Macaca mulatta: one gene and its partner. The protein of the gene in region 2 interacts with the protein of the main gene of each other region in a pairwise test. Links are inferred from orthologs where the notes say so. Each region holds a gene or a part of one and is shown on either strand. Other genes may lie near its edges.

Region 1 (4,707 bases), on a different chromosome or scaffold from region 2:
CTCATTCAGGCTGGAGTGCAGTGGTGCAATCTCGACTCACTGCAACCTCTGCCTCCCAGGTTCAAGCAATTCTCATGCCTGAGCTACCTGAGTAGTTGGGATTACAGGTATGCACCACCATGCCCAGCTAGTTTTTCTATTTTTAGTAGAGATGGGGTTTCGCCATTTTGGCCAGGCTGTTCTCGAACTCCTGACCTCAAGTGATCCACCTGCCTTGGCCTCCAGTGTGCTGGGATTACAGGTGTGAAGCACCACGCCTGGCCCCTGAATTTGACTTTAGACACCTCAGATAAGCAGAATCATACACTATGTCTTTACTGAACATAAAGTCCTCAAAGTTCATCCATGTTGTAGTATGTGACAGCATTTTCTTCCTTTTAAGGCTGAATAATAATCCATTGTATGTACACGCCACATTTTGTTTATTCTTCCATCAGTGGACATGTGGGTTGCTTCCACCTCTTTGTTATTGTGAATACTGCTGCTATGAACATGAGTCTGCAAATATGTCAAGACCCTGCTTTCCATTTTTTTTTTTTTTTTTGCTATATACCTGGAAGCAGGAGTTCTGGGGTAGTTCTATTTTTAATTTTTTTTGTCATACATACATATTTTTAATTGCTTAAGAGGAATCTCTTCATATTGTTTTATATAGTAGTTTCACCATTTTATAATCCCAGCAGCAGTACACAAGAGTTCTAATTTCAAAGTGGTATATTTTTATCTTGCATTTACTTGACGATTAATGATATTGAGTACTTGTTGATTTAGACTTTTAGTTCATTTAGAGCTCCATTTTAATAAGGTGTCCTTTTTTTTTTTTTTTTGGTCGATTTTTCAAATGGCTTGTCTGGAAGAATCCTTTATATATTATAGATAAAGGATCTTTATTGGTTATATTTGTTGCAAATATCTTCTATTGTATAGCTTCCTGTTAATTTCTTAATGGCGTTATTTGGCAAGTTTATATTTTCTTTTCTTTCTTTTTTTTTTTTTTTTGAGACAGTCTCACTCTGTCACCCAGGCTAGAGTGCAGTGGTGCGATCTCGGCTAACTGCAACGTCCGCCTCCAGGTTCAAGCGATTCTCCTGCCTCAGCCTCCTGAGTAGCTGGGATTACAGGCGCACACCACCACATCCGGCTAATTTTTGTATTTTTTAGTAGAGATAGGGGTTTCACTATGTTGGTCAGTCCAGTCTTGAACTCCTGACCTTGTGATTCGCCCGCCTCAGCCTCCCAAAGTGCTGGGATTACAGGTGTGAGCCACTGCACCTGGCCGCAAATTTATATTTTCTAATGGAGTTCAATTTATCAATCTTTCCTTTATGGTTAGTGTGTATACCTACATTTCTTATCTGTTTAAGAACTCTTAGCTACTCTTAGAAAATACATTTACTTTCTAGAATAATTATTCTCTTACCTTTTATACTTAGATCTACAGTCCATTATACAATATGATTATGACTACAAGGTGAAATTCCATTTTTTAACATGAATATCCAATTGATCCAATATCATTTATTGAAAAGACCAACTTTCCAGTTCCATCTTCATCATAAATGAAGTGTCCACACATGTATGGGCCTGTTATTGGACTCTTCGGGACATAAGTCCTGTTGACTTATGTGTATCATTGTGTCCAAACCGCATCGTTGTAACTACTGTAGCTTTATAGTAAGTCTTTTTTCCTTCTTGTTTTTATAGACAGGATCTCACTATGTTGCCCAAGTGGCCTCAAAAACTCCTGGGCTCAAAGGATCCTCCTACCTCAGCCTCCTGAGTAGCTGGGACCACAGGCATATGCCACCATGCCCAGCTTACAAATCTTGATATTCATAGTACGCCCTCCCACTTCAAGATTGTTTTGACAGTCTCTCACCTTGATATTTTGCATTTCCCTATAATACTGTGTATTTCCACAAAAACATTATGGGTGTTCTGACTTGGAATGCATGAAGTCTATACATCAATTTGGGAAGAAGTGACATTTTTACAACATTGAGTTTTTCAGTCAGCAAATATACAACTTCTCTCCATTCATTTAGGGATGGAATCCCTGACCTTTTGATTTTTAAGTCCTTCCTGGGTTTTATCCCCTCCCTTGCCGTCTTATCCGCGACCTAATACAAGGATCAGGGCCCCTTCCTCCTCACCTGACTTAGGGTCGCCAGGTTTTCCATTGGCCATGGGGGGAGGGCCCAGAAGGCTGGGTGGTCCTAAGAGCAGACATGAAAATATGGTCATCAGAATGGATTAAAGGACTGATGATTCTGTTCTTAGGCGTTTTTCTTGTATTACTCATTTCTTAATTCAACCAGTAAAGTCAGGTATATTTTCAGCAGTCTTAGGAGTTCTCACCCCATCTATCTGCTCTTTTTTCTGCAAAGCTGTTTCAGGGTTTGCAAAAAGTAGATATTCAATCAAAGGCGATAATGCAGGAAAAGATACAACTTTTTCTTTTCCTCACCGTACCGTCGCTATCCAAAACAACCTAAGTGTCTCCAGACATAAACCAATCCCTCACCTTAACTGCTGGCCAGTCAGTTCTCTTCTCCTTTCACTCGGCCAGAGGACTAGTTTAGAGAAAGCGGCACCTGTACCTTTTCAATCAAAATCCGGATACAAACTGTCAACCCAGTCATCGCAATCTGCAACATCTCTACTGCCCCTTTCCCCTACTGTTCTGCGGCTGCGCAAAAGAGCTCTTTACTCTCTCCACCCCCGCGTTCCAGAAAGGTTTGGGGCCGTATTGAGGTTGACGGTTCCAGTAAGAGAACTCCTGGTTCAAGGCTCCATTTGGGACAGCCCTGCTGCCATCCCTACCCAGCGCGTGCGCCCTTCCTCCTTCCGTTAGAGCCCCTTCCTTCGCACCTTATTAGCCCCTAGCCCTTCGCCCGGACGGGCTTGACAGGCATGTGCACATCCCTCCCTGACCCCTCACCGATGGGACTCCCATCCTCCTCATCTCCAGTCTCTTCCCGCTCGGGCAGTGGGGGTTGCTGCTGTGTCGGTGGCTGGTGCTGATTCTGCTTCTTTCGTTTCGGCATCGTGGCTGCGGCAATGGCTGCAGCGGGATTTGGAGGGTAGTGAGGAAGGGGCACGCGGGGATTCTGTTTCCGCTTCCGGGGGGTCGGTGGGCAGCAATGCCCAAGCTCCCACCATTCCACTTCCGGAAGGTTGCGGAGAACATCTGTGGCGGCCGCATTCTGGAGTAAACTGCCTCTCTCCGTCTCTGCCAGGCATGGCGGCAACCTCACACCTTCCTTTTGCTGCGTTTCTATAAATGCTTTGAAAAAATTCCGCTCTTCTTCCCTCGCTGGAAAACACCACAACCAGCTCCTCAGAGTGTGTCACAGAGTCAACAGGCTCTCGGGCCAGAAGGCCTGAGAAGAGGACTGTCGCACCGTAAGATCGCCACATCCGGTCCTCGGTTACTATGGTAACAGCTGCAGGCACAACTTTGTGCCCTTTGACCTCCCTCCAAAAGCCCTTGTCCCGCCTGGGTTTCGCTTCTCGCCCGCTTTTGCACTTCTGATCTGTAAACCTGCTCCTTATCATCGTTCCCACAAGGAATTTGGGTCCCAGCAGGTCGGCAGCCAGGACTCTTCAGACCGCCGCCCTCCCCTAAAGACCTCTGACCGTGCCCCCGGTGTAGCCCAGCAACCTGGCTTCATTCCCGGGACGCACCGTCTCGGCTTTCCACTAAGGTCAAGCCTGGGGGTTGGGAGTGTAGCCTCAGCGTGTCCACTCCTCCTCTCCCCTAGGTAATAGGCCCCGCCCTCCGCTCCGCCGCCCCCTCCAGGTGAGTGGTAGCTTCTCCCGGGAGCGCAAGGTAGTGATGACACGCGCTCCCCCCTCCTCCGAACGCGAGTTGGTAGCGTCCGTGACGAAGTTAGCCTGGTCCTCCCACGCGCGCCTCCTTCCTCGCCGCCGGGGTGCTCTCTCGGTGCTACTGGCTCTCACGTGCCAGTAGCCCACCCCGCATCATCCTTTCGCCTCGCTCCTGGAGGGAAGTGACTGTGTATCTCCCCTGTCCGCCTTCCATCGCCGCCGCGGCGGCAATTCGGTCGGGCCCGCCCGCTGACGTCACCTGCTAGCTCCGCCTCCTCTAGGGTCCCGGGCCCCTGCGGCGGGGACTGCCCCGGGGGGCAGTCAGTTGAGGCGGCAGGAGCTCGGCGGAGGGCGGGCCAGGTGACTGGTCCGGGCCATGCCGAGGAAGAAGCCCTTTAGCGTGAAGCAGAAGAAGAAGCAGTTGCAGGACAAACGGGAGCGGAAGAGAGGTCAGTGCGGGAGCTGGAGGAGGAGGCGGGGCTCGGGCTTCCGCACAGCTGGAAGGAGGGGTGTGCCCGCTGCACCTCTGGGGGTCGTGGGAGGGTGTCGTGGGACCGCGCCAACCCTCGCGGCCTATCGCGGAGGGGATCTCCCACCCCACCCCCCCACATCTGGAAGGGGTGGGGAAGGATGGAGAGTTGGGGGAGGGGAATCCCTCCAGCTCGCACGGGGCGCCGTCCCTACTGCTCCCTGGAGGAGTGATTCCCCCCCACGCACATCCGGGAGGGTCCCGAATAGGGTGGTTGGGAGGACAGAGCGTCGGAAGAAGTTGAGTGGGATGAAGAAGAGTCAGACCGGTGGGGGAGAGGGTCTTATGGCCCCTGAGAGCTGGCCAGCACTGGCGTCACCGGCCCCTCCCCGCAGGGCTTCAAGATG
Region 2 (4,602 bases):
CGGACATCCCCGAGGAAATAACCTCTCTGGGCTTAAGTTTCTTCTTCTTTATTTTTTTTTGTTTTTTTTCGGACACCGAGTCTCTCTCTGTTACCCAGGCTGGAGTGTGGTGGTTCGATCTCTGCTCACTGCAACCTCCGCCTCCCGGGTTCAAGCAAGTTTCCTGCCTCAGCCACCCAAGTAGCTGGGATTACAGGCGTCTGCCACCACACCCGGCTAATTTTGTATTTTTAGTAGAGACGGGGTTTCGCCATGTTGGCCAGGCTGGTCTCGAACTCCTGACCTCAAGTGATCCACCCGCCTCAGCCTCCCAAAGTGCTGGGGTTACAGGCGTGAGCCACCGGTGGCACCCGGCCTGGGATTAAATTTCTTTAAGTGTAAAAGGACTAAATAGTTCCTTCCCCTTAGATACCACAGCATGGCAAGCTCTTCAGAAACGCCAGGAGATTTCTGAAAGAAGCACCTGGGAGAATCTGACTGATGCTGGGAACCCTTTCTCCAAAACTGGGCAAAGAGAGATGACCAGGCTGCAAAATGTTTGTTTTGGGGGTTGGGGGGACGGCGAGTCTGTGCCCTAACTCCAATTGTCTTTTATCCAAGGGGGGACTTGGGGGGATTGGGTAGGAGGGAGGGGCTCTGAAGCCACACAGCTGGGTCTTTGGGCAAATTATTTAACTTATTTTGTGCCTCAGTTTTGTCCTCCACAGAATGCAGCTGTTTAAAAAAAATGAATTCCCTATTTGTCAAGTATTAGGTCAGAGTCTAGCATACATTATTTTCCCAATCTCCCCTCCAGGCCTCAGCCTTGCCATCTGCGCAGAAAAAATGGGGTGGGGGGCTCACCTTCTCGGGACGCAGGGACCCTCGGCCCCCCAGCTCACCTGTGATACTGAGCTTGCAGTAGCTGAAATTCGTCTTTGATGCGGTCGCAGGAGTCCGAGGTGGTGAATTTGAGTTGCTGGGGTAGGTGCGAAGAGCCCTGTGGGGAAGGGGCGGCCCGGGTCAGGCCCTGGCTTGGGCTGGACCCCCCTCGAGGGCCAGCCGGGAGGGAGCGGCCGCGCAGCTGCGGCGCCCCCCCTCCTGCCCCACTTCCTGGGCCCGTGTTTACGGCCCCTGGCGCGGCCCCCACCCGCGCTTCCTGCCCCCCGCCTCTCCCGGGGGAAGCCGAGGGGGTGGGTGCGCCCGGAGCCGCCCCGACCCCCGCCACCTCCAAGCAGTGGGGGTGCGTTTTAAGGCCTGCCCTAGATGGGGGGCAGGGTGCGCCCTCTACCGCCCCTCCAAAGCGCCGGGAGGGAGTGCACATCCGAGGGGGGTGGATACGCACCCTAGGGAGCCCCCTCCCCAAGTTGGGGGGCAGCGAGTCCTCCCAGCAAAGCCCTCTTGGGGGAGGGGTCTCTCGGCGCCCGAAATCTTCCCGGGGGGCCCACCCCAGATTCCCAGCGCCCTTCCTCGGGGACGCGCTCTTCCGGGAGGGGTGCGCCTCGGATCGCCCCCCCACCACAGGCCCCCAAAGGATCCCCGCGCTAGAGGTGCCTGGCGGGGCTCCCGGAGCGCCCCAGGCCCGAGGCCAAGGCCGTCCGAGGCCCTGCCTGTCCCGGCGAGGGGGGGGGCGCCAAGCCGGGAGCTGGGACGGGGGGGCTCGGGGCCCGGAAGCTGGGGTGGATCGGGAACTGGGGGGTGTCCGGGGGCCGGCGGCAGGAGGGGGGTCGCGCCGGGCTTGGAGCTGGAGAGGGAAGACAGGGCCGGGGAGTTGGGGGGGGTGCCGGGCCGGAGGCACCGGGCCTGGGGGTGGGGGGCGCGGGGCCGGGAGCCGGGGGTGGGGAGCGCAGGGCCGGGATCCGGGGTGGGGGCGCCTGCCGGACGGACCCCGCTTACCGAATGCCTGCTTTGTGGAAACATCATGTCAGTCGCGGCAGGGGGCGCGGGCTGCGCCCCGGCTGTGCGCCCCGGCTCGGGCTGCTGGGGGCGCCGGGCGGCCGCGCCTTTGTCCCGGCGCCGATCGGCAGCTCCCGGGGCCGCCGCCGCCTCCCGCGCCCGGCCTCGCCCGCTTCCTGCGCCCCCTCCCCGCGCGCCCGGCCCCGGCGCGCCCCGGGCCCCGCTTCCTGCGCGCCCGGCGCCCCTCCCCGCCCCTCCCCGCCGCCCGCCTCCCCGCTCCCCGGCCCCACCGCTATTGTCTAATGGCGGCGACGCCGGCAGTGGCCGCGGCTCGGCTGATGCTGAGGCTCCGGCTCCACCTGCCGCCGCCGCCCGTGCCCCGTGCGCGCCGCCGAGGGGGGGGAGGCGCGCGCCCGGGGAGGCCTGCGGATCCCCACCCCGGCCCGCCTCCCCAGGGCCCGCCCGCCGCGGTGACCTTGGGCCCGGCCCGCCCCCGCCCCGGGCCGCGGCCCCCGCCACCCCCCCCAACCCGGCAGCAGGCCGGGCCTCGGTTTCCCCATCTGTCAAAGAAAAGGGACCCGGCTGCCCGCGTCGAAGCCGCCAGCCCTGCCGTGGCACGACCTGGACGCGTGCCACGGACGTGCTCTGTGACCTTGGCTCTGGCTGGGCGGTGGTTCTCGCTGAGCCTCAGTTTCCTTTTCTGCAGAAAGGCAGCGGTAATGCCGCCTTTCTCAGGGAAGCCATTCTTGCGACACATTTATAGAACGCCTACTGTGTGCCAGGGCCTGCTGCTCCAGGGCCCTGTGGTGGGGGCGGGGGTGGGGGGTCCCTGCTCTGGTGGTGGTGCCTGGAGACAGACAGAGACAAATTAACAAGCTGAATTCCCAGCAGGTCAGATGGTGGGGACCGTTCTGCAGAAAAACCAGCCGGGAGGATGGCAGGGTAGGAAGATGCAAAGTTAAACAGGTGGCAGGGAGGATCAGAGAGAGCTTCCTCCGCCCCTAAAACGACCCAAAGAAGGAGAGAGAACAGGGGGATGGGGTACAGAGGTACTCAGAGGCAGGACCAGCAGGTGTAAAGGCCCTGGGGCAGGACTGTGCCTGGCATCAGGGTGCCAGGGCGGAGGTCAGGAAGGCCGGAGGGAGGCAGGGCCTGGGGCTTCATGCATTTGCCCGGGCCCCCCCCCCTCCTCAGCAGGGCTTGTGCTTGGGTTAATATTTAGTGTTGCATTTTGAGATTCCTAATCATTTTTGAACAAGGGGCCTTTCAGTTTTCTTTTGCACTGGGCCCTGCTAACTCTGTAGCTGGTGAAGCAGGCCAGTCCAGCAAGGACTTGTGGGCCATGGGGAGGACTTGGGTTTTTGGGTGAGTGAAGTGGGAGCCCTGGAAGGCTGTGGGAGGAGGAGGGATGGGACCTGGTGGTTTGTTTTTTGTTTGCTTTTGAGACGGAGTTTCACTCTTGTTGCCCAGGCTGGAATGCAATGGCACGATCCCAGCTCGCTACATCCTCTGCCTCCCGTGTTCAAGTGATTCTCCTGCCTCAGCCTCCCGAGTAGCTGGGATTACAGGCACGTGCTACCACGCCCGGCTAATTTTGTATTTTTAGTAGAGACGAGAGTTCTCCATGTCGGTCAGGCTGGTCTTGAACTCCCGACCTCAGGTGATCCACCTGCCTCGGCCTCCCAAAGTGCTGGGATTACAGGCGTGAGCCACCTTGCCCAGCTGTTTGTTTTTGAGATGGAGTCTCACTCTGTTGCCCAGGCTGGAATGCAGTGACGTGATCTTGCCTCACTGCAACCTCCGCCTCCCGGGTTCAAGCGATTCTCCTGCCTCAACCTCTCGTGTAGCTGGGATTACAGGTGCGTACCACCATGCCTGGCTAATTTTTGTATGTTTAGTAGAGATGGGTTTCACTATATTGGCCAGGCTGATCTTGAAATCCTGACGTTGGGTGATCCTCCCGCCTCTACCTCCCAGAGTGCAGGGATTACAGGTGTGAGCCACCGCACCTGGCTTTAGACTTGTGCTTTTGCTCTGAGTGAGGTGGGAATCCTGGAGAGCCGTGGGAAGAGGAGGAATGGGACCTGGTGGCGGTTATGAAAGTATCCCTCTTTCTGCCATTCAGAGAACAGGCCCCAAAGAGGCCATTGAAATAAGGCTGTTCCGCCGGGCGCGGTGGCTCACGCCTGTAATCCCAGCACTTTGGGAGGCCGAGGCGGGCGGATCACAAGGTCAGGAGATCGAGACCACGGTGAAACCCCGTCTCTACTAAAAATACAAAAAATTAGCCAGGCGCGGTTGTGGGCGCCTGTAGTCCCAGCTACTCAGGAGGCTGAGGCAGGAGAATGGCGTGAACCCGGGAGGCGGAGCTTGCAATGAGCCGAGATCGCGCCACTGCACTCCAGCCTGGGCGACAGAGCGAGACTCCGTCTCAAAAAAAAAAAAAAAAAAAAAAGAAATAAGGCTGTTCCTTTAAGGTCCTCCTTTGGCAGGTGCTGAGCACACAGTCTTTTCATCATCGTCATCCACTAAGCAGCCTGCTCCCTTGGATGAATGCAACTGATTTGGGCCTTGGGTGTTCCCATCTGTAAAATGGACCCGGAACCCCAGCCTCCTTACCTTGGCAAGTAAGGGTGAGAGCCCTCAGTGTTCAAGATTAATAATCTTTAAAGCAGTGTTTTAATATTTTTATTAATTTTTTTTTTTTTTGAGACAGCGTCTCACTTT

The links.
Region 1: the proteins of TLE5 (region 2) and PRR3 interact in binary tests that used the Homo sapiens proteins (3 or more experiments, as listed by UniProt). The two-hybrid records come from large-scale screens. The link is inferred for Macaca mulatta from reciprocal best matches to the Homo sapiens genes TLE5 and PRR3.

Annotation. Positions count from the first base shown.
Region 1 is NC_133409.1:152,487,637-152,492,343, forward strand, and holds the start of PRR3 (proline-rich protein 3), read right to left. Parts: upstream 3,098-4,707; 5' UTR 3,048-3,097; coding exon 2,942-3,047; intron 2,217-2,941; coding exon of another isoform or gene 2,154-2,216; intron 1-2,153. Other genes in the region: GNL1 (guanine nucleotide-binding protein-like 1), read left to right, coding at 4,208-4,280, 4,696-4,707.
Region 2 is NC_133424.1:3,855,165-3,859,766, forward strand, and holds the start of TLE5 (TLE family member 5), read right to left. Parts: upstream 2,830-4,602; 5' UTR 2,633-2,829; coding exon 2,405-2,632; intron 2,219-2,404; exon of another isoform or gene 1,903-2,218; coding exon of another isoform or gene 1,876-1,902; intron 1,632-1,875; exon of another isoform or gene 1,325-1,631; intron 980-1,324; coding exon 882-979; intron 1-881. UniProt on the Homo sapiens protein: Transcriptional corepressor. Acts as a dominant repressor towards other family members. Inhibits NF-kappa-B-regulated gene expression. May be required for the initiation and maintenance of the differentiated state.